2 linked regions of the Drosophila melanogaster genome follow. The protein of the gene in region 2 purifies or fractionates together with the protein of the main gene of each other region. This does not show direct contact. Each region holds a gene or a part of one and is shown on either strand. Other genes may lie near its edges. The genes, in order: lva and CLIP-190.

Evidence for each region.
Region 1: the proteins of CLIP-190 (region 2) and lva purify together in Drosophila melanogaster (affinity purification with western blotting; 2 studies listed by BioGRID, with this or other methods). This does not show direct contact.

The regions. Positions count from the first base shown.
Region 1 is NC_004354.4:3,956,246-3,968,441, forward strand, and holds the start of lva (lava lamp), read right to left. Parts: upstream 9,083-12,196; 5' UTR 8,510-9,082; coding exon 8,456-8,509; intron 8,394-8,455; coding exon 8,322-8,393; intron 8,253-8,321; coding exon 8,172-8,252; intron 8,108-8,171; coding exon 4,397-8,107; intron 4,340-4,396; coding exon 4,232-4,339; intron 4,166-4,231; coding exon 268-4,165; intron 183-267; coding exon 62-182; intron 1-61. Other genes in the region: CG6428 (uncharacterized protein), read right to left, coding at 9,575-10,276, 10,343-11,092, 11,152-11,387, 11,785-11,992. UniProt on the Drosophila melanogaster protein: Lva and spectrin may form a Golgi-based scaffold that mediates interaction of Golgi bodies with microtubules and facilitates Golgi-derived membrane secretion required for the formation of furrows during cellularization.
Region 2 is NT_033779.5:17,379,630-17,392,454, reverse strand, and holds the start of CLIP-190 (cytoplasmic linker protein 190), read right to left. Parts: upstream 7,441-12,825; 5' UTR 6,960-7,440; intron 6,895-6,959; 5' UTR 6,825-6,894; coding exon 6,560-6,824; intron 6,310-6,559; exon of another isoform or gene 6,126-6,309; coding exon of another isoform or gene 6,062-6,125; intron 3,115-6,061; exon of another isoform or gene 2,925-3,114; intron 1-2,924. Other genes in the region: Lrch (Leucine-rich-repeats and calponin homology domain protein), read left to right, coding at 8,673-8,985. UniProt on the Drosophila melanogaster protein: Together CLIP-190 and jar may coordinate the interaction between the actin and microtubule cytoskeleton. May link endocytic vesicles to microtubules. May play a role in formation of furrows during cellularization.

The sequences.
Region 1 (12,196 bases), on a different chromosome or scaffold from region 2:
CTGAAAAGAGCAATAACAACCATTAAGCCTTTGCTCCATTATCTTGTAGGACAGCACTCACTTCTGCTTGAGGTCACTGCCCGCTGCGCTCGTCGTGCCCAGAAGTTCGCTGTTGCTGCCCGCACTGCTGATTTTACTGGGACTGCTGCTCGAGGCGGCTGATGAGGATGCCGTGGCACTTGCTGCTCCGGAATAGAGGAGAACAAAAATTAGGATTGGATCGGATCATATATAACAAAAATGCTCAGAATTGGCAATCCGACTCACGTTCATCGCTAACGCGACTCCGCTCAGTTTCCAACTGGCGCAGTGTGTCCGACAACTTCAGTTGCAGGTGATCACGTTCCTCGAGCAACTGCACCAGTTCCACAATCATTTCCTCGACTCGCATGTCGCGCTGGTGGAGCATCATGAGGGCGTAATCTAGATCCGCTTTAAGCACATACTCGGGCAGTGGTTCGTTGGCAGTTAAGGATGGTGGTCCACCAGCTGAGACTGTTGTCGAGGCAGGATTGCCCCCACTGGCTCCACCACGATTCTGCAGCCGGAACGGATCGTATTGGGCGGCTAAACGAGCGTACTCGGCTGAACGAATGGCCAGCTGTTCCTTTAGCGTCACTATCTCCATTTCCTGCGTTTCCAGCGCCTTTTGCATCTTTTGCATTATGTCGCTGGTGGCCTCACCTTGTGTGGACTGCTGACTCTGGGGCAGTTCCCTCTGCTGCTGCTGGGTAACCTCCTCAAGTTGCGCCTTGAAGGCGGCTTCCCTTTGAGAGAGATGTTCCTGCCAAATGCTGGCCACCTCGCCGCACTTTTGCTCCACCAACTGTTCCCACTGCTGATTGATAGCTGACAGATCGGGTATTTGCTCTGCAGCGGAATTCTGGCCAAGATTTTGGCTTTGCAAGATTTCTAGAGAACGGCGCAGCTCGGTGATTTCAATGTTTTTGGTATCCAGCTGGAGCAGCGTTTGCTTCATCCTATCCTCCAGCTCTAGGCTGCTAAGAACATGATTGTTAAGCACACGCAGTTCCTCCTCCATATCCGATTTCTCTTGCTGGAGCTGTTGGCACAGGCTTTTTAGCTTTTCAACGGTCTCCCCGTCGTCCTTTGGAGGAGCAGCTGACACCTGCTGATCTTCCTTGTCCTCCTCCAATTGCTTGACCTGCATGCGTAGTAACTGTAGCTCTTGATTTTTGGTCAGGATCTCGAAGACAAGCTTCTCCGTTTGATCTTCGCGCATAAGCTCTTCGATGCGTTGCTTTAGGTGCACAATCTCTGATTCCTTCTCCTGCAGTTGAGCCATTTGCTCATCATTTCTGGAGGCCATGTCCACCGAGAGTTGTTGACCCTGACAACTCTGACGCAATGCTTCCAATTCGGCTTGATCGCGTGCGCGCAGAGCTTCCAGTTCGATTAGTTGTTGGCGCAGCTGTTGAAGCTCCAGTTGTTGATTATCCCGCTGCTCGATTGCAATCCTTGCCGCTTCATCGTGACCCTGGCTACTCTGACGCAATGCTTCCAATTCGGTTTGATCGCGTGCGCGCAGAGTTTCCAGTTCGATTATTGCTTGGCGCAGCTGCTGGAGCTCTAGTTGTTGATTGTCCTGCTGCAAGGTCGCAATCCTTACCGTCTCGTCGTGACCCTGACAACTCTGACGCAGTGCTTCCAATTCGGATTGATCGCGTGTGCGCAGTGCTTCCAGTTCGCTTTCTTGTTGGCGCAGTTGCTGGAGTTCCAATTTTTGGTTGTCTTCCGCCTCATCGTAACCTTGGCTACTCTGACGCAATGCTCCCAATTCGGCTTGGTCGCGTGTGCGCTCATCTTCCAGTTCGCTTACTTGTTGGCGCAGTTGCTGGATCTCCTGCTGTAGGCTCTCAATCCTCGCCGCCTCATCGCCGTCTAAGGATGAAGAGACAGTTGCGGCGGGCTCACCCCACTGGTCTAGTTGGCTAAGCTTTTCTTGGAGCTCCCGAATGCGAGCCTGGTACATTTGCACATCCATGTCCTGACGCTCCTTCATTTCGGCCATACGATCGTTTCCTGCTGTCAGAACATCGATACGTTTCGCTAACTTCTCTTTTTCCAGGGCGTGCTGTTGTGAAATTTCTTCCGCTTTGCTCAGACGAGACTCTTGCAACTGGAGCTGATGCTTCAGCTCCTCAATAATGGTTGAATCCAGATCATTATCCACTGTCACAGTGGGCGTGGCGGTCGTTGTTGCCTTCGTTTTGTATTCCTTCAGACGCTTCATAAGCTTGGCGGCTTTAGTCTGTAGTTCGGTCTTTTGCTGCTCGGCATTGGACAACTGCAGCTCTAATTGAGCGATTCTCGTGTGCAGGTGCTCCACATCGGTTTGCGGCGCTTCGTTGGCAGCACTGGCCCAGGGATCCTCGTCAACGCCCCAATCAATGGTTTGAGCAGTCTGCTCCTGAATTTCCTGCTTTGGCTGGCACAAATATGCCTTTTTGGGCTGGATCAGTGGTTCCACCACTGGCTCCGTTTGGGGCAGACCCAAATCCAAATGGTGACTAACAGCATCGGGCACTGTTTCCTCTGCCTGACCGCCGAAGAACATGTCCAATGTAGGCGCTGCCGCCGGTTGGATAAGCTTCTCCAGTGCCGCCAAGCGATCACGTTCCTCATTTGCCGTTTGAATGTCGGCCAGCTGCTGTGTCCGTTCGCTTAGCAGGCGCTCTACTTCCGAAAGACGCTGCTCCAACTGCAAACGTCGCTCTTCCTGCTCGGCCAAGTTCTGATTTCGCGCCAGCAGCTTCGTTTCCAAGTCCTGTGCATGCTTCTCCAGATCAGAAACGTTTCGCTGAAGATCCTCGATTGTAGGTGGTGGAGAAATAGGTGGCGGTGCACTTGCCGCTAGGGAAGAAACCCTCAGTGGTTGGGCTATCTCATCGAAGGGCGAGGGGGCGGCCAAAGCATCGCCACCAAAGAACAGTGAAGCCGGTGGAGGATGCTGCTGAGATTGTACAGCAGGATGATGATGCTGTTGCTGCTGCTGCTGGTGCTGCTGCCTGGCCAGTTGTGCCTGCAGTTCGCTTAGCTGCTCCGCCAAACGCTTGTTCTCCGTTTCGATGTAGACCTGATCATCAGTTTGATTCTGACCCAGAGTGTCCAACTCAGCGATTCGCTGCTGCAGCGCCTGCAGCTCCTGGCTGTGATTGGCGCATAGAGCATCTATCTGAGTGCGCAGGTTGTCCATTTCGGTCTTGTCCTGCATGGCCTGCATGCGAAGTTCCTGTAGCTCCAAAACATCTTGCTCAGCACTGTCATGCTGCAAACGAAGCAGTGTCACTTCCCTACTCAAAGTGGATCTCTCGCGTTCCACCTCCTGGAACTCTTCGTTGAGTCGCTGTAGTTCCTCAGTTCGTTGGGCCACCAGCTCTTGGGACCGCTCCAATTGCTGGCAAAGCTCTCGCGTTTCGGCTGCAGCTCGCTCCACATGGCTATTGAGGTCGCATTCGAGTTCATCGAGCTCCGTGGCCTTGGCTGCCAGTTTGGCATCGTAAACCTGCCGCTGACGGTGCAGATCCGCCTCCTTGACGTCCAGTTGCTGTCGGAGTTCGGCCAGCTCCTCCTGGCTGTGGCTGCTCATCTGTTCCCTTTCTGCCTGGGCGGTGGCTGTTAGTTGCGAGTGTTTGGCCAGCAGAGACTCGTACTCCGTTCGCAGGCCAGCCAGTTGCTGCCTGCTCTCTTCAGCTTCGCTGGTGAGCAACTCAAGTTGGCGACTTTGAGCTTGCTCCCGTTGTCCAAGCTCATAGAAACGCTCCTGTAGCTGCTGATCCTGTTGGCGCTTCTGCTCTTCCTGCTCGCGCTGTTCCTTCAACTGTTGCTCCAGTATTTGCACTTTATCTTGGGACGCCGCTTGTTGGTTAGCCTGACTGGCGGCCTGTTCCTCAAGAGCAGCGCTTCTGGCCTGCAGTTCCGTATTCTGAGCCTCCAGCGACTCAATGTACGAGGCATCCTCCTGTAGCTTGGCTTGAATCCCTTCGTGAAGTGTCTCCAGACGGGCGATGGTCATCTCAAAGTTTGCCTTATCGCTGGCGTACTGTTGCGCCAACAGAGCGTGTTGCTCCTGGGCCGCCGTAAGCTGGACACGAAGCTGTTGAAGTTCTCTCTCTGCCACTTGGAGGGATTCCGCTTGTTGTTGCTAAAAATTTTTTTTATTTGTTGCATTAGAAGGTAAATGAGGTTCAAGTTCAAAGTTCAATCTCACCGATTGTGATTCCAATAGTTGATGTGAAGTTTTGGTAATGGTATCATCGCCTTCACCGGCTGCCCTGCTCCTTTCCAGCTTAAGAATCTCTTGTCGGAGGGCAGTAATCTGTTGTGGTTGATTATTATCTTCGACATCAAATATGCCTAAAAATCGATTACTCACCTCCGCATCCTTTTCTAAACGCAGTTGCTCGTGAGCGGCCCGCGCGTTCCGCACATGTTCCACCTCGCTGTCTTGATCCTGCTGCAGTTGCTGTAACTCACGCTGCAGCGATTGAATCGTGGCATTGCGAAGCTTTATCAACTCCTTGGACTTTTCGAATTTCTTCGATTTGGCCTCTAATTGACGCCGCAAATCCTCGACAGCAGTGGGCTCTTCGTTTACCCTCTGTCCAAGATTATGGATTTCCTCCTGAAGCTTAGAGATTTCTTCCCTGAGTCTGGAGTTTTCCTGGCCCAGTTGAAAGACTTCCTGATCGGCTTCTTGGCGCTCGCGTCGCAACTCCTTGCTTACCAGATTGGCATCTTGGAGCTCCGCATCACGTTCTTGGATAAGTTGCTCCTGCTCTTGTATTTGCTGCTTTAACTGACGCAGGGCATCGCGATTTTCCAGGTTGAGATGGATCTTGGCCTTAAGGTCTTCGTTAAGCTTGCTGACCTGTTGCTGCAGTTGTTCAACCCGATGGTTGTCCACGATGGGTTCACGTTCCACCTCTTCTTTCTGCTTGACAAGCTCCTGCTGTTCTTGAAGTTGACTAGTAAGTTCCTGGACCTTCTGCTCGAGATCGGCATTGTCCTGTGTGCGTTTCTTGAGGTTAAGGGCATACTTCTTGAGTTTCTCGCGCAGTTCGCGGTTCTTGAACTGCTCCTCTTTGTGGGCATGTTCTAATCCTTGATACTCCTGGATTTGCTGGTTCAGGGCATCGACAGTCTCCTGGCTGGAGGTCAACTCTCTGACCTGCTGGGCAACTAAACTTTTGCTAACGCGCAGAGCCTCTCGGAGCTGATCCGGATCCTCTTTGGCTCTCAATTCGCGCAGCTCCTCTTGTGCTGATTGCAATTCCAGCATCTTAAGGTTAAGCGCGTGCTCGCTTTCGCTGACACTCTCAATGAGTTGCTGCTTCTGCTCGGCAACTAGAGTCTGTAGGATACTCAGCTCGCCCTCCAGAGATTCGGCTCGGGCCTCTAACTCTCGACGAATCCTTGTTTGCTGCTCCAGTTGCTTCTCATGGCTCATTTCCTTGGAGTTGAGCAGCTGATCGAATTGCTCTGATTGCAGCTGGAGTTGTGTGATCTCGGCACTCTGCCTGGCCACCAATTGCAGCTGTTCTGCTTCGGTTTGACGCAGCTCCTTGATTTGATCTACCTGCTCCTCGATCTGCTGGCGTTGCTCGGCCTGCAAGGAGCGTGCGTCCTCCAGCTGGGACTGCAATTGCAGGATTTCATCTTCCCTTTGAGAATCGGAACCAACTATGGCCAATGGCGCTTCGGTTTCAGGATAGCTTTCCCGCAATTCATCCAATTCCTGGCGCAATCGGGAGATCACCGCCTTGAGTTCCGCGTTCTGTGCGTTTAGCTGCTCATATTCCGCAAGAGCTTTTCCGTTGGGAGCGGTCACGGCCACCACGGTCTCCACAACGGTAACAGTTTCTACCGCCGTGCTCGCTTCCTTAACCTTGTGGAGAAGCTCACTCAATTGGGTGTGACAGTTCTTGGCCTCCTTGGCCAGTTTCTTGGACACATTGAACTTGGCCTGCCTATCGTTGGCCTTGCGATAGGCCTCCAATTCAGAGTTGAGTTTGCTCAGGGATTTCTCGCATTTCTCAAAGAGCACGGGGCCTCCTTCGCCGGCGTCCAGTGTTGCGACAACTTCGGAGGAGCGTTGCATTGAACTGAGTTCCTGCGAGAGATTGGATGAAGTGGACGTGGAGGAGATCAGATCCTTCTCACGTTCACGCTGCAACAGCTGAAGAGAACTTGAACTTTCCTCCAATCTTGCCTGGAGTTGCAAATTCTCGGCCGACAGTTGCTCCAGCTTGTCCAATACCTCTCCGCGCTCCTGGGTGAAAAGTTCGAGACGTTCTCTAAGCTGGGAAAGAGTTTCGCCAGAGGAATCCTCCTCCTCAGTTTGCTCCGTCTGAGTGAGCTCGCTGACGTGACTTGGCCCTGGTGGATGCACTTGCTTCTGCTCCTGGGCGTCGCCCTCGCTGGCCGGACGTCGTTGGCCTAGGCACTCTAAGTGATGACGCTCCACTATTTCAATGGATTCCGCAGAACTGGATGAACTGAGTAAGGCCTCTAGGGCCTGTTGCAATTCCAATTTCTGCTCTTCCAGCAAACGAATTGTTTCCAGCTGCAGTGGATTATTGGACTCCGTCGATTGCTCTGGCTGGCGGTCGTCCTCTTGCATGTTGGCCAACTGCCATTGACCCTTCTCGTCCTCGAGGACGGCGATCCTTTGCTGCAGTTCCTCGTTATCAGCCAACAGTGAAGCCAACTGCTGTTGGCCATCTTGGGATTGGAATTTCTGCAGCTTCTTTTCCGCCTGCTTGCATTTCAGCTTTAGCTTTATGTTGGCCTTGTTAGTTTCGTCCAGCTTTAGCTTCAGCTGCTGCAGATCCTCCTGCATCTGCTTGCTGGCGGCACTGTCCTCCGAATGGTCCTCCAGAAATAGGGGCTTACTGCGACTGCTTTGCGCGAGTTTCTCCTCAAGGAGACGCAGATTCACATTGAGCACATTGAGTTCCGTTGTCTTTTCTGCGAGTTCTTCGTTTTGGGCAGCCATTGCCGACTTCTGTTCCTGCAGCTCTAGAAGCTGCGCCGCTATGGTGGCTTCCAGTTCCTCAAGGCGCTGGGAAACAATCTCATCGGTCACCTGGAGCTTCGCCTGGGCAGCAACTTGCTGACGCAACTCCTCATTAGTTGCCTGTAGATCAGCCAGCTGGTTGGTAAGCTCCTGGAGCTGTTTGGCTAGCTCCGCGCTCACCTGTGCATCGGTATGCGCTGCTTCCGATTGCGGACTGCGGGAAGCCTTTTCCTGCTCTTGTTCCAACTCCAGATTACGCTGTCTTTCGCGCGCCGTGGTCAGCTCTTCCTGAAGTTCACAGCGCGTCGTTTCTAACAGGTCGTTGACGTTTTCCAGCTCTGCTAGTCGTTCTCTTAAGACTAAAACTTCGCCCTGGAGGCGAGAGTTTTCCTGCACCTTCAGGCTATCCTCTTCTGCCTGGACCACACGCAATTGCTCTAACTCCTCGTTTCGCTGGGTGAGCGTGCGCTGTAATTCCGCACCGGATAGTTCCAATCGCTCGATGAGTTTAGCGCGCTTGGCCAGTTCTGTACGCAATTCATTTAGCTCCTGTTCCTGCCGGCCCTGCTTGAGTTCCGTCAACTTCATACGACTCCTGAGCAACTTCACCCGGCTTTCGTCCACCGCCTCCTGACCCTGGGCCTCCAAGTCCAAGGCAGAACGATGGCGGGATACGGGTGGATTGGAGACAGACGCCGCGTGTCGTAGGTCCGTCATGGAAGAGCCCAGCTCGGCGGTCGTTTGGTGGCCAATATTCGACTTTACAGAAAGAAGAGACTTGGCCAGATCCCTCTTGCGCTGCTCCAACAAAGCACGATTTTGTTCCGTGCGCTGTGTGAGCATCAGAAGCTTCTCGCTGCCACTGGTTTGGAGTAAAGAGACATCACCGGGGTCGCTGTCCTTTGTGGGTGAGACCAGTGGAGTGGAGGAGTCGCCGGAGCGCGTCTTCAACACGGTGAGCTTCTGACCCAGTGTCTTAAGCGACTCCATGGAGTCACTCATGCTGGACTTGTGTCGCTCATCCTGGGATTTCCTTAAGGCGCGTTCTTTTAAGGCAGTGAGGCGCTCCTGAAAGCAATCATTTCGAGTCATTTAATGATATGAACCACTTGATTCACAGCGCCTAACTCACCTGCTGCTTGTACAGATTCTCTTTAAGGCTATCCAAACGGCCCTTGCCTTTGGTGCCTCTCGTTGTGCTGGCGGATACATTCTGTAGGGTAGATTCAACAGATAATATTGAATCCTGCTTCACTTGGGGGATTTGTTCAGATTTACCCACCTGTAACGAGGACAGATCGTTGGAGCTGCCCGCTAAGCGTATATCCGCCTCGCCATATTCGTGATCGTCGGGCTGCAAGTGGTCATGATCAGTATGGACGCATGTACGTACAGGGAACACCAAGTGAAACCCACCTGAACGATGGAGAAGTCGTAGGAGCTCTCCAAAGCACCCGAATCTTCCGCCATTGTCGTTTCAATTACAAAATATTACTAACTATCCTAGCGTACCGGACCAAATGCAGCAGCAATAACAAAAAAAAAAAAAAAACCAAAAACAAACAAAAACACAAATCGGGGGAATCGGGAATATATATGCGGACTGGCTATCTGAAGGACCGATTATATATCCACGGTGGCTGCGCAGCGCTAGCTATCGACATTGACTGCAACGAGAGAGGGTTTACCATATAGCTAACATATATCATCCGCTTCCGATCGGCTAGAATTGTCTTTAGCTTTGAATTTGCGTTTCTTGTTGTTCTTTTTATTTTATGGAATTCGTGGCACTGACGTGTGCACCTCTCTATAGATGTGTGCGTGTGTGTGCGGCTGTGTGTGTGCGAGTGGGGCTGTGTGTGTGTTTTGTTTGCTGTTTTTCCAGCGCTTGTGTCGATTTTCGCCTGGTTTCTGAGTTACAAGCCACTAAGCACTAGATTGCAACGTAAGAGCTTTCTTATGTGCACGCTGACAGATGTATATTTACCAATTCTAATTAATGCCAGCGTAAAAACAATTCGATACCAGGGCTGCGCAACAACTGAATAGGGTCACAAAGCCCTGGTAAGTTATCGAATGACAGATGGCTCGATAGCACTTGCGCTCGTAATCAATCAATCGATTACAAACTAATTCAAAAATTTTGCATTAATTTCAAATTGATTTTATTTATTTTCATACAACAAATTATACTAGTTTGTGTATATAACTTGTTATACAACCGTTTAATATGTCTGATGCTTAATTTTAGACATGATTGGTTAATTTTTGGTTTTGGCTAATAATATTATTGCATACAATGGATACATTAGTAAATAAGGACTACTTAAAAACAGGTCAGGGATTCGACACTTAATAATAAAAACTACCACGACAACATCGTTAATATGCGAGTTATGCAAAACTGATAATAAGGAACCATTAGACTAGATGCAACACTTAAGTACAAAAGAAATAACCCTAGCCTCCAGTGTTTGTTTTTTTCTTCATGCTGCAGGAACAAGGAACGAGGTATGTATGGTTCGGAAGAGATTTCTATGATTTTAGGACCTCCATAACCGCTGCGTGTCCGCCGCGCTCCGCATAATCCATGGCGGTCAGGCCGAGCATGTCCTTCTCGTTCGGATTCTCGAAATAGGGCAGGACGTATTGCACCACCTCCGGAAATCCGTGCAGTGCTGCCACGTGCAAGGCCGTCCTGCCCGAAGGATCCGACTGGGCAAGATCGGCACCGGCGTATTGATAGGACTTCAATCTGATCATCGATCCCCTAGCAGCGGCCGCGCACAATTGCTCGCCCACCGCTCGCGAAGAGCCCGTCAAATGAGCACCACAGTTGATGAGCAACTGGATGATCTCGTGGCTATCGGTGGCGACAGCCTCCAGAAGTGGAGTGCGGTCATACCGATCACGCACGTGCACGGACACCCCGTTCTGCAGTAGGTACTTAACGATCTCCACGTTTCCCAGCTGACAAGCCAAGTGTAGGGCCGTTCGCTGGTCATGATTTGTGCCCGACAAGTCGGCGCCATAGGCTTTCAAGTTGTTGATCTTCTTGGGATCACCTTCGGCCACAGCGGCGTTGATCATGGCCGGAAAGAGCGTTTCGCCCAGCTGATCCAGTTCTTGGGGCGAGGACAAGTGCAGAGACCGTGCCACTGCGTCCACCAAGTCGTAGTCCTCCATTTTGGGAGCCTTTAAGGAGGTCAGTTCGCCCCTCAGGCTTGACTGCATCATCTATGAAATGCACACATTGTGGATTATCCATATTTATGTATGTATTGAATTATAGTCGAAACTTACCTGCTTCTTCATATCGAGTGACCACTCCTCCTTGCCGATGACATAGGCCAGCTTGGCCAGCGCCGCCTCGGGCGTCATATCGAAACCGGGAATTACACCGACATCGCAGAGCACCTTGCCCGTATCGTAGATCTCCGCCACTGTGCCATTGGGACACTGTGTACAATTGATGATGATAACGCCTCGTTCACCAGCCGCACGCAGTTCATCGATGAGATCTTTTCGGTTCGATGGTATGTTTCCAGATCCGAAGGATTGCAGGACAACGCCGCGAATCGGTGGCGCCAGGAAAGCCCGGAATGTGGAGTGCGAAATGCTCGGAAAGATTCGCAGCAAGCCGACGTTCTCGTCGAGATTCAAGTGTACGCAAAACCTTTCAATAGTGCATGGCCGGAATATCAGGCGGTAGTCGACGTTCACATCAATGCCGATCCTGGCCAGTGGTGGAACATTCGGTGAGTCGAACGCGTCTAAGGCATTCGAACTGACCTTCACCGTCCGATTGCCGCGCATCAACTTATGGCCAAAGAAGATGCAAACCTCCGGAATGATGTAGTTACCGGCTATGATCAAGGCTGACGTAAAATTGTCCTTGCCATCGGTTCGCGTCTCAAAGATGGGTATTTGGGAGCCCGTGATGATCACCGTCTTGCCCAAATTTTCCAACATGAAAGACAATGCAGATGCGGTGTAGGAAAGCGTGTCGGTGCCATGGAGCACCACAAAGCCATCGAAGAACTCGTACGATTGCTAGACAATAATTTGGAAAGGATTAATATTACCTTTCATATATATATATATGTATGTACCTGAATATCGCTGGCGATTCGCGCCCAATCGTTCATCGTCATATTGCTGCTGTCCAGCAGCGGTGTATATTCCGAGATCTGGTAGATAACCCGGCGATCTACGCCCTGCACAATGGGCAGCACCAGTGGAGCCATCGATGCAGATGCTCCAAAGCGGCGCAGCGCGTACTCCTCATCGTGGATGTTTGGATATTTGCGGATGCTGCGCACCAGGGCATTGGGAATGGGAGCTAACACTGCGATAATTATAGAATATTAATATTGATAGTCACAAACTCCGTGACAAATTAGTTTCCTAATCAAGATGATGATTTATGGTCACGCTTCGTGTGTCAAATGTTTACTAAAATACCTAATTAGACCACTCAATAAATAGCAAGCAAATAGTCAATATTTAAATAGAAGCATCAACAATCTGTTGACTGCCAATTGATTTGTTTTGTTTACATTCATACCAACAATTTCAACTTTCATACATATTATTCGAATAAAATGTTTTCAAGTGCATTGCTCTTATCATATCTGGCCATTTTCTAAGACTCCCCTTGTTAGTAAAAGTGGGATCTTATCTACATGGACAGATTCGGGCAATCCCAATGAATCCTCGTATTCGTGACATTCTGGGCTGCTTACCATTCCGCTCGTTGCGCACCATGCCGATGGTGCCGCCAGTGTAGATGACCTTCACCCGGGCCTCTTTGACATCCTGGGCCATGAGTTTTCCATCACTTTTATTCCTGCGGATCGTGGGACTCGGCAGAGTGGGCGATGCCGGCGGCATGCTTTTGTCCAGCGAGGCCAGCCTCTCGTGACCATTGGTCTTCAGGACGGGAATATCCATAATATAGAGTAAAGAGTATAGAGGATGATGGACTGCGGAGCGCCGGTTGCGAAGCTGTGTGCCTTATCACTGGCTGCTCAGATGGTGTCGTTCCGACGCGTAAACAGCAAATCCATTAACAGCCCGTGCCGTTGATGATTATTTGGCCAACTCGTTATCGTGCTAATCCGGATCGGATCCGAAGTAGTGAAATAATAATTCGCG
Region 2 (12,825 bases):
AAAAATAGCGAAACAGAAATGAAGGCAATAATGGGTTTGTTTACACGAAAAGCCACAGAAAGACTTTGGTTCACTCAGTTGTGACAATAAATCATTTGAAAAGATTTTCAAGCAAAACAGGTGCAAAATGAAATATCATTTCATAATCGAAAAAAAGAAACCGGGTGCGGACCATAAAAATTAATTAACCAAAGGTGGTTACACCTTTTCCAATTTTTTCTCTTTTCATTACCGATTTGTGTTTAGTCAAAGAAACGGTAATTTAATTGCCGGCGAAGTCAGTGAAAATAAAAATAAAAGGTGCCGCCAGCGGAAAAGCAAAGAAAACCGGCGAAACAATAAATAAAAAAAAATCATTTTCGAGGCGTGTGAAACGCAATTAGGCGGGGAAAATTTACCGCAATTAAATGCTCCTAAATGAGTGTCATACAAAGTGCAATGCAAATTAGCTGGGCGCAAAGGTGCGTATACGTGATCATACAGCATCGCGCATTACTCATACGCCACATATACCACCCACGAAAGGTTGCCCTGTCTATGCCAATAGTTCTAGAACAAATACCAAGCTGAGCTCATTGGGGAGCTTCAAAAGCATATATATATATAAATATCAAATCAAATATAACAAACGGCAACAATAAAATTGTGTAAACAAACCGACTAAATTGAGTTGAATGACGACAGATCATTATTGCCGGTGGCGGGATCCACAGCAAATATATAAAAGTATATAGAATGTGTTCGGAAGTTAGTGTTAAATATATAAAGATATGGGTATGTATCCCAGTTTGACAGATGGGATGATCAGTCTGTCAAGGTGATGCCTTCAAAAGGCTTTATGACATCGCTCCCACACGCCCACAAGTTTTTGCAGGTGGATTGTGTAATCTTTATGTGAATATCTGGTTCTAAATACAAAGTCTCCATATTTGCATTCCATTTGTGTAAGCAGCAGCAGCCGCGAAACTTTTTTAAAATTTACTAATAATCAGCTTTTACGTTTAAACTGTATAAGATGCTTTATTTACTATCCATATTTATTTACCTACAAATGCTGAGTATTACAAATAATAAGCTATATACAAATTTTTACAGATGAATATGAAAAAGAAATATTGAATATAAAAAATATATGGGTAAACGTATTCATATTTTTTCAAGCCCTAATCATTCTAAAAAAATATCTTTAACAGATATGGTAATCAGATTTTAGCTCAAATTCCTCCATTTTCAAGTACACATTCCAGCAAGATAACTGGCATCTTGATTCTCTCTTATTTCGGGAAAAATCAACATCTTAAATGAGTAACAATTTCACTACCTAGCGAAATAATGTGAGAATCTCACCGGTCAGTTCTAATTCAAAGATAGCGTGGCAACAGCAAAAGTTGAAGAGTTTTGGGCTGGCAATGTCGCAGTCAGTGGAAGTGTGAATGGAATCCAAAATAAAAATGTGTTCTCCTTATCAACAACAGAACCAAAATAATAATAACAGCTGATAAAATACCAGTTAGCAATAACAATGCCAAGGCAAATGACAGCAAGCAACTTGGCCTGGTCCAAAATGACTCAAACAATTGAGCGACAAAATGTGCGTTATACGAACGGAACGTGGCAGTGAAAAGAAAGCCACAAAACGGAAAGAAAGTTAGCTGCAGACAACTAAATAAAAAAATTGAAATTTGCATATGGTGTTGGCCGCCAGTGGAAGCCCAGTAGATTTGGCAATAAGACGTCAACGCCGAGCCCCAAAAACCACAAACAAACACAGAAAAAAAAAGCAAATTGCACTAAAAATCAAAGTCTTAGGCAATATGCAAATATTGCCGCTGTGAAAGTCATTCCATTTCGCATATATATGTACGTATTTTTAGACCGATCAACGTTTGTGTCTCTTTCAGTCAAAATACGAATCAGCAATAGCAAATTTGTATATCTAATTAGCGGTTAACCGCAACTTTTCAATACAATCCGCAACCGAACTTTGTTATTGCCGTTTCGGCAAATAAACTTTTGTTGTCGCTTAGAGTTTATCGTAGATATCGGAGATATAGAATGCCTTAAGGTTATCTCGGCGATTTAGCCGACATTTCAATGAGAGAGAGGTTGGGGACACGTGCTCACAGCCCATTTACAAGTTTTTGTGCGTCAATTTACTTATGTAAGTACTTGCAAACAGGAAAATGCGGATGCCAGCGGAAAATCCGTAATTAGCTACGATCTCAGTACACCGGCAATGGCTAATGGAAAGGCCCAAAAGTACAAATGCCAAGGCCCACACCCAGCCTTTGAAGTCGTTTCTTCTGATAATTATCAAGTTTTATTTTTATGCGCTTTAAATACACCTATTATATTTAAAAAACCAAGGCTTTCTGATAAAATCTAGTCCAAAACAGGAATAAAACTATTCATTGACCGAAATATCGCTGTCATTAAATTGTGCAGTCATAAATGGGCCAAGCCCAACAAAATCGGTTAAATGATAAGGATCTAAGCATGTTATAATTTAGAACAGAGATATCAATTAACGCTGTATCTTATCTTTAAACTCAATAAAACCACATTAAACAAAAAAATTGGAAAATTTCTAGGTTTGTCTAAGACACGAAATTAAATAAATATTTATGAGGCCACAACCAAAGCAAAGTTTCACATAGGAACAAAAGAATAAATTTGATTAACAATTGGTTATCAACCAGACCAAGCCAAGGTCAAAGGCTGTCGCCAGAAATATGAAAAACGAAAAGTTTCCAAAAATATCTTGCACTGCAGTAAACTCGAATCCTTTTAGGGCATCGACAAGGACGTAGAAAAAGGTTCACATAACTTATGCCTTTACAGTTCTTTTTTAAAAGCCTTATATTTTAATTGGAAATTTCCAATTTAAATAACGACATTCGTAATTTGCTGGCACACCAAATCACCTTTTGTGAGTTGTATAACAATAAGTAAGTCTCTCTGTTAAAGTTGGCTTCTATTTTGGATTTTCAATTTCGTTTGCGTGTTCACTATATAAGCTATAGTATAGAGCCGATCAAGTTCAATTGGTTGCCATCTGAGTTGCAATTCCGCGTCTGAAACACGTCCGCCTCGCGAAAAGTCGTTCAAGTAACTGAACGTCGAGAGCCAATCGCGAAGCGAAGTCAGCGCAAACTTTGAGATACTTTTTTTTCGCAGCGAGAGAGCGGCGAAGCCGATTGCCAATCCGGTGCCGAAGCTTTGTTGGCCAGAGTTTAATAGCAGACACTGTGGCAATAGCTCCGCACTCTCGGTGTTTTTATTGAATAAACGTCGCGTAAAAATAAGAGCCGTAAAAAAATGTTTTTATTTTCGACTTTTGCACGGACACGCAAAGTGAGTTAATCCGGCAAACAAAGAATTGCCACATGGCTGCAATTTTATTTTCCCTTTCTTCGATACCATATGGATCGATCGCTCAATGGTTTTTAGCACTCTAATCACAAGTGCAGTAAATGCATGAAAATAACTAAGCAAGAGTTCGAAAAAATGGAATTTCACTTTTTGGGTTTTTTTAACAATCCATATTGGCTTTGAAAACTCTAAAAAATATGTTCTTGTTGTATTCAATAATTAATAGGCAAATATGTTTTGGATTTCGACTTGGAAGAAATCTTATGTGACCTTATATATTTCATAAAATATAAATATTTATAAGCAGTGAAATTTATTATAAAAAAGTATGTAAGTTTTGGAAAATTATTATTTTTTCTTTAAAGATGTTTGAAGTGGCTATTGAAAGATTCGATAAAGTTTTTAAACGCCGGGTTGTGTCTAATTATATATAAAGTTTACACGTAGGAAAACAATTTAAGAATTGCTTGACGAGATTGTAACAATGAATTCCAGAGACTAAATGCCAGTTAATCAGAATCAATTATCTTTAGATTCATCTATGAATCAGCTTTTAAGACAATGCACAAAAAAGCGCATTGAAATATTGAAACACGTATTTAATAAAATTTTCTAAACTATAACAAATACATAACTTATCAAATCGAATATGTATATATATTCCTTTTAAGAGAAGATACTGTTTTCTGTTGGCTGAAACCCGAGACGTTTTCAGCTTAAATATGCAACACGTGTCTTCAATTATAAAGATTTCAACGACTTAATGATGTGAAGTCAAATAAGTGAGACAAAAAGTGGTTAATCATAACATCAATATTGACTCTCCCACGGAGTCGGTGATGTAAACAGAACTGGGCTCAATCTAGAATCGAATGGAGTAATCCCCCGCCAGACGATGCTCATCCATTGGACGTCAATCCCGAACGCGTTTTCGATTCAATCTTAATGCGAAGACAAATGAGCTTTCCGTTTTTATGGGTGGGAGAGAGGCTCACTTCACTTTTGTTTCCGATCGAAACCAATAAAAGTGACATAAGCTCATCCACGAGCACCACGACCGCAATTTTCATATCAGATCGACTGAGAACGGAACCCGGCATCAAATGCGCAGCGCAAAAACACCTCAAAAGATCTGAGCTCACGAACAAGCTAGAAGATACGTTTTGAGTACGTTTTCTGTGTCATCGCCAGAACAAATTCAATTAGGGAACGACGACGTAGAGATAGATTGCCGGCCGGTCGCCAGGTTTTCTCGGTCGCATTTGAGCTGAGTAGATTTTCGCAGACTTTTGGCATTGAGTATGGCGGGCCAAATGACGGGTCTCTTGGCAGATAGTCAAACAGTCCGTTCCAGAATGCTAGGAGAGATTTTAGAAAGCTGATCTGGGCAGCGGATCAAGGCGCTCAGGCGCTTGGAACGGATTTGGTTTTAAGCAGCGCGTCGCATAAACTACTAATTGACTAAAGTAGTTCAACTATTTGGGACATGCGGTATATCACTTCGTTTTCGTTAATAATTGGCAAAATGCGGAATAATCTCTTTGATATGGCGATCAACACTGGCGTATTTGAAACAAATCAGCGTAGAAATTTAAATGTACTAAAGCAAAAAATTCGGAGCTATCAAAACAAACTGGACTTTCATTGAGCCAAGCAAACAGCTTAATTTCTGAAATAGGTTTAATAATTATGTGCAATAAACGACCAATAAACGATTTTAAAAATAATGTATAAATGGGCAAACAAACTAGTTACAAAACCAATCTAATACAAAGTGATAATCTAAATGATCACAGTGCACATAGCGCCGTGTAAACTATTTCTATGGATGCAAATTAAATACACCTCGTGACTCAGTTTTTTCTGTAACCCTAAACATTACAAATTTTTGTGTTTTTGGGTAAATTTACAGGGAATAAATTTCTACGATTTTGCGGTTGCATTGCGACTGTCAATCGGATATGGAACGTGTGTGCCGGCGAAATAGAAAACCCGTCAATCGATCCATGGATCGTTTGGCAGATCGTTTGCTATATGGGCCAGTGGGTCGTCGTATGTTGACGACTGCGGTGCGGTTACGTGCCTGAAATGAGCCACATTGGGCGGATCAATTAAATGGTAGCAGCACTTGCCTAATTGGCCATAATTCTCCTTACCAAAAACACTTTTCGGGGCAGCTCTATAATTATGATCGAGAGTTAAGAGTGGGCGGCAATTTGTTTTGTTTATTTTTGAATTGTGCGTTGGTGTTTCAAAACGATTAAATAATTGAAAGAAGTGAAGCATTTGTTTACCAAACGAAACAGTTGACGCTGGGAATTATTAATGGTTTCTCTTTAGAGAAGAATTTACACTAACTACGCGAGTTCTCGCCGAAATAATTGCAAGTTCAATGTAGTGCAAAAAGTGCACTCAAATGGGGTGGGGTCAGCGTATATGTATGTATATATTTAGCAAGTGAGTGGGTCTGTCATCGTTTCCATTAGATCATTGCATTCGCTTATAGTATACAGCAATCTACATCTTGTGGGTGCACATATATATATGTAGGCGGATGCTTGACTTGCTTGAGCCAAAGATGCAAACACAAAAGTAGTCAAATCTCGGGTATTGAGGGTAGAGAGTAAGTAAACTTGATGAAATGACCCCTTTACAATGTCAAACTTAAAAGTGCATTATTTAAACTCACCATTCTTTTTGGGTTTCTGTTTTCCCATTTGAATGTGGGTACATTTTTTAATATTAACCTTCATGAGTACTTGGTGATAGTATAGTGGTGGGCTATACTATTGAAACATATTTTACTGCGATATTTTCCGGAGAGCAATTCAATTATCAGACTTCTTCCAACTGTTTTATAAGTGAAGAACTCGCGTATAAAAGTGGAAATCGGTAAAAACCCCTTTTCTTGAATTGTGAAATTAATGTTCTTTGTTAAGATGTTAATATGTATGTGACAATGCACTGACAAGATTTTCAAAGGGGCTCTGGTTGAATTCCCATTGGTGTTCAGATGTGTTTTAATTTCATCTTGCTTTAAATTCTAGCTTGTAAAATGGATGATAATTAAACCCAGGGGATAATTAAGACCTTTAACTACTTTCAAAAATACTGCTCTTAGTAACATATTTGCTTTGAGCAATAATACTAACTGGTTTGCGTTGTTGCACAATGCGATTAGACTTACCTCTTGGTGGTGGACCGGATTTGGGAGTTGTGTGATTGCAGCACGGTCTTCCGATTTTGGAAACAGAACCCGTCGATCCAAAACTAGATGGTGCCTTCATTTTGCTGGGCTGCGGGATTCCGGTACCAGAAGTAGCGGGCGTGGGAATATTGGATCTGATGGGACCCGGTAATTTGGAGGCAGTGGCTCCTGGTTCCGGGTCCGCAGTAACTGGCGATGGAAAAGGGGCACTTGTCCCGCCCGAAGCGCTCGTATCATCACTCATTTTTTACTTTATTCTTAATAATCTTCACTTATTAGGACACACGCGTATTAAAAGTAAACGATTTAAAAAACTTGGGGGAAAAACAAGTGCAAAAGAATAATTTTTGGTAAAATAAATGGAATGCTGATCACTTACCTTAACAAATATATGTATAATTCGCTTAATTTGCTTTTATTTTATATTTTTGCTACAAAAATAAATGGATTTTTTTTATTTTTAGCTAGGTTTTGAACCACTGTTCCACTTTTGTTGTTGCTTTATTTTGGCGCGCAGGCAGCTATCTCACTCGCACTTAGGCGGCTGCTTTAAAACAGCTGACTGAGAGCAGATTTCTTTTCTTCTTTTTTTCGTTGAGCTTGAAAAACAAACAAGACCGCTTTTTGTTGTTGCTCTCGTTGGCCAGAACTTCGTTATATTTTCAAAAAATGCGGAACACAAATATGTATTGAATTAATTTTATGCGACTAACAAAATCACTCAAGGGTATTCTATTTATATAAATTCGTAACTTTTTATTTATAATTTTGTGTTGGGCTGCTTGCGCTGATATTCATCAGACTTAAACAAGATTAAATTGAATCAAATTGCTTATCAATTTGTGCATTTCACACACACACACACGCACGCTGTAGCTCTGTTCTATATTTTATTGTTGCTGCTGATTTGACACAGTTATAGAAGAGGGAACCATTAGAAGAGGGTGGGAAAAGGGACGCGAAAACGCACTCTTATTGGTGTGTGTTTACCGCACACACACACAGTACTTAAATAAACTGGAGTGCTTTACATACTGTGCTGTGCGAATACGATTTAGAAATATACGCGATTGGGATTTTACAATTTTACACAAATTTTAGATTTTTTTTGCACTTAGTTGGCGTTGCGTTGGAATTTTGTTGTTGCACTGAGTTAGCGATGGTAGCACAGCTCCAGTGCAGCGCGCCAATCGATAGTTGCGGCTATATTTTCCCGAGGTATTTTTAGAGTAATGCGGTCATACAAAAACACCCTGTAGGAAATTGGCGAATATTTATTCGTGAATATAAATATGTAAAATATGAAATTATGTCACCAATAATGGAAGCGTCGCTGAGCTTATTCAGATTTGTGATCTGAGCCCACACAACTGACAAATTAACGAATTTATAATTTAGTCTAACATGGTTTTTTAATATTCAACCAGTTTATTGCCGGGTTCCAATACCAGGTTACCTGGTCATTTGTTCATTTTTTCTTTAAGTAGTTATATGAAATGTTTCGGTGTAATAACGACTCAGTAATCTAATAATGCCCTAAATTTGAAGGGGCAAATGCTAAACGGTAGATCATTCTGAATAAACAAACATTACATTACATTATAAAATGTAAGATTGTTGACATTTCGAATTGCGATAAAAATGGAGCCAGTGTATCATCGGCGCACTGTGGTATTTTATCGATAGTACTCAAAGGCACGCCGATTTTAAACTAACAGCAACGTTTCCAGCGCTGCCCAAGTAGCATCCCATAAACCGATTCAGTTGTTTTTCGATTTTCGTTGTGCACTGTCGCTCGTCTGCTGCGTGAGCTTGTGCGTGTGTGAGTGCGCGTGTGTGCGAGGAGGCAAAGAAGAGGAAGCAAGAAGGAAGCCGCAAAAGGAAAATCCAATTCCGAGAAATCTTATCAATGAGCCAAGAAGACGTACACTAAATGAAAAATAATCGAGATGCGTGCGTTTCAATAGAGCAAATTTAGTTTCCAGTTTCGGTTTCTTTCGGCACTTCACTCCGTTTCCTTATCGGTGTGATAGTTTAGCGCGTGCGTGTGTGTGTGCAAGTGTGTGGAAGTGTCGCCACGCCTACACGGGAAATGGCAGCAACGGTTTACCAACGCCTACATAGCGTCGCAGTCGGCGTCGGCAGCGCCGCTGGCAGCGCCATCGGCAGCGGGTCGGCTTCCCTTCCAGGATCTGGAACAGGATCGGGATCTGGAATAGGCCACGCTGGAAACACCTCCTCCTCCACCTCGTCTGCCCTGCTTAGTCATTCCCAGCTGACGCGCTCCCTGGAAAGAATCCTGGAAGAAGCGCACTTCAGCGGCGAACTGATCCTGACCAATCGCAAGCTGAAGGACTTTCCCAGGACTGGAACGAAGTACTCACTTACCGACACTGTCATCGCAGGTGCGTACCGCTATTGTATAGTGTATATTCGTAAGGGAGAACAAAGAAAAGGTGTTCTTCAAGCCGGTTTCGTAGCTCCGGAAAAAATTGGGTTTTCATTACTTCCTAAGTAAAGTTTAAACTGTTCTTAATAATACTTAATGTACGAAGTTAATAACATTTTATTGGAAAAAGCATACATTTTTATATTACAAAGTTAAATGGTATTAAAGTTGATTAGAAAATTGTTAGTTATAAAGTTTTCTTTTGACGTCAGAAAAAGTAAAAGTAGAGTTTACATATGTACAAGTACTGATAAAGCAATTAAATTAGTTGCTTATCGAAAATGTTTGGCGTATGTGTATACCTTTAGGGTGCGGCATTTAAGCAAAGGAGGTTTGTTGCCGGTGAGCTAACGAAGTTTTTCCATCTCCATTGCAGTGGCGAATTTTCCTTTTGTTGCTTGAAAATCAATAATTTGCAGCAGCCGTCGGAGGTTCATCCTTTTCCTCCTTTTCTGTCCTCCCATCAGCTGCTCTTTCTCTCTGCGGCTCTCCCATTCTCTCCCTTTTCGGACTGCGCTCAAGGACAATAATTACCGCCGTTATTCGCTCTTCGCCACTTTGCACTATTCGTGTTATCCTTATTTATTTTTATTTTCGCCGCAGCCGGCACGAAAATTTTGTCGAAGTTCAACCAACTTTCGTTTTTGTTAGGACCAAAAAATATGCACCAGCGGAGAAATAGTAAATGGGAAATACCCACCCAGAAAATTCACCGCCCTCTCGCAGGACCCCGCCCCCTCTCACAGCTGCTGCTACCCTCGAACAGATGTTCTCACAACGGGACATGTCTCTCATCGATTTTCACTTGTGTTTGTTGTATACACATACAGTAAACGCTCTGAAAGGCGAAAGGATACGTAGATAAGGTTAGTTGTCATTCTAATCGCTGAAAAAGCGAGATATGGCAATTTTCCATCTAACAATACTTCACAGATCGAAGATTATGTTCATTGAAACGAGACAGATTATAAACTACAAAATTATTTTAGTTTATTTCTTTTAATTACTTACACAAAGTAAATTCCAACTATGAGATGTTATTATTAATTTTAAGACTTATTATGAACGTGGAATGTCACCTTTCAGAGGACGCACTGTATTTTGATGTATTTTCGGTGGAAATGTCTGGAATAGAAGGAAACTTTTTATTTTTGGACTGCGAAGATTAATTGCCGTGGAAGAGAGATAAAAATAAATTGTGTCATAAATTGAAAACTAATTTGGTAAAAGAATAGGGAAAGAATTCAATAAAAATTCCACTTAGCCAGTGCCTTGGATGATGGATAATACCGGAATTGAAGAGCAACAAAAATAAACAAAATTCTCAGTTTGTCTACCATTAATTCAATTAAAATTACATTTTTATAAAGCAAACATAAATTGACTAATTAATGAAACTGAATTGAACAATGCACTTCGATATTGAAAAGAGTACGTAACAAATTTCGGAAGGTTTCAATTAAATTTAGGATACTAGAAGTGTTTAAAGAGATAAAACTTAATCTCCCCCTAACCTAGGAAACATATTTTTAATTTCCTTCCAATCCACTCCGCTCCCCGTTTTCCGCCTACGTGACTTGATTTTCGAATTAAGCTGTGACAATCCGTGACTTATGGCCACGCGCTATTTGTTCGAAATGGGGAAACGATCCCTTCTTCTTTGGAAAACCCTTCCCCACATGGAGAGCCAACGAGCTTCCGGTTTTTCGTTCATTTTCGAATAAGTTTCATGCGTTTTCTCACCAGCAATTGAGTCATCGACTGCGAAGGCGTGACTAATTACTAATTAAAATGCTGGATTTTTGGTGTGAATGGACATGTGGAAAATAGAAAACAGGGGGAATATTGAGATACGCTGAACCTCTCGTTAGGGGTTAATCTTTGGGGAAAATATTTGTAAATACACCCTAGCGAAGAACCTCTACAAATTGCCTCTTCGAGAACAATGAAGCCACCCTCGGCGAAGGGTTTTCGCAAGTGGGGGCGGTGGACTTTAAGAGGTGGCAACGGCTCTTAGCCTTAATGGCTTGCAACCACAAGGGTTTCGAGTTTCCAAGAAATCGATGATTCTAAAGCAAAAGAAAGTCAAAGAAACTGAAACAGAAAAAATGTGGGAGGGGGGGGGGGTGTATACACCGACCATTTTTCTTTTTTCTTTATTTGCACGCATGCCATTTGCAACCCCCGAAATGGCATGAAATTAAGGGGAATGGGCAGGCGCCTGTCAGCATTTCCTAAAATCATTTGTTGTTGCGGTGTGGGTGGGAGGTAGCCACACTTTTGTGCATTCCTTTGGGGCGTTTAATTAACACGCGTGTCACGCAAATCAAACAGAACCATAAACAAAAACCTAGACAAAGGACGGCACAAGAAAGAGTCAATCGAGTGAAGCGAAAAATCAACAGCAGGAAATTGTTTAAAGTAATTGCATCGAGAAGGAAAAAGCGCAAAACGGGTACAAAATTGCAGCTGGCCTCAGCAGAAATTGTGAGAAGAGAAGCCCAAGCAAATGCAAGAAGGTAGCAACAGCAGCAGCAGCGGCAGCAACATGCAGCAGCAACTTCAACTCGCAGCAGCAACAGCAGCTGCGCAGACCGCAAAGTTGGCGCCGGCTTAGGAATCAGCAGCTGACAAAGGTGCTGCCCACTTGGACTTTTTATAGCCATAAACAGGGAGTTTAGCGAAAACTGTTTCAGAATATAACAAACTCACTCAAAATAAATATATATATATGTATGGAAATGTAGCAGCAATGATCGTCTGGTGTCCTTCGTTACTGAGCGGTTTAACAGTGGCGCTCCCTTGGATATTTTATAGCCATAAAAAGGCCGTTTAGAATCTTTTGGATCAATTTGTCACAAAAAAAGGAATCCCCTGGTGTCCATCGTTACTAAGTGGATCCACAGTGTCATACTATAAAAAAGCAGTTTCGTTTCCTTACTTGTCCATTTAGCTTCGATTTGTTTAAAAATACCGATAAACAATATTAAGCTCTGGCAAAGTTTGAATTTTTAATAATATTTATTTATTTAATAACAAAACTGTAATTGCAGCCTGGTAACTGTTACGAAATTGAGAGGTTCATATTTTACGTCAAAACAATAATTCATATCATTAATAGCAAGCAGGGGTTCATAAGCTTTTTTAGTATACACTTGGATTGCATTTTCTTTTAGTCACAATACTCTTTTTTCCAGACTGAACAAAACGTCTGCCAAGTGACCGAGAACAAGAAATCTTTTCTGTTTGGGGAAGTCAAAGTACCGGCAAACAAAACAACAGCAAACTTATAGAGCGAGGGGAAATGCTTTTGTCGTGTGTATCCGACGCGTATATTTGTTGTTTGCATTGTAAATATGATGGAGCATAAAAAGACAGCTAGTCTGGTTTTTTGTACTTTTATTGCTATTTATTCTCCGTCTGCAGCAGACAAAAGAGGAAATGTGACCGCCGCAGCACGTCGCTTATCTTCAGTGGCTGTCAAACTGCACGGTTCATGGCTTGCATGCACAATGCAGAAAGGAAAACATAAAAAAAATCATCGGACTTAGCGATGGTATCATGATAAAGTACTTCCCAGAAAATCGGTTCTGAAATAAATACCCAAGAAATTGATATGTCAAAGGAAATGTATTACTGACTATTGATCAAAAAACACTATCTTCATTTCAAAGGCAACCTTCCCACAGAAATATTTCGTATTTTAGGTGGAAAGTGCCAAAAGTTACTGGGAATATTTTGGAATTGGCTTTCCCACACTAATATTATGCCTCGTTGAAAGCTTCTTGGTAAACAA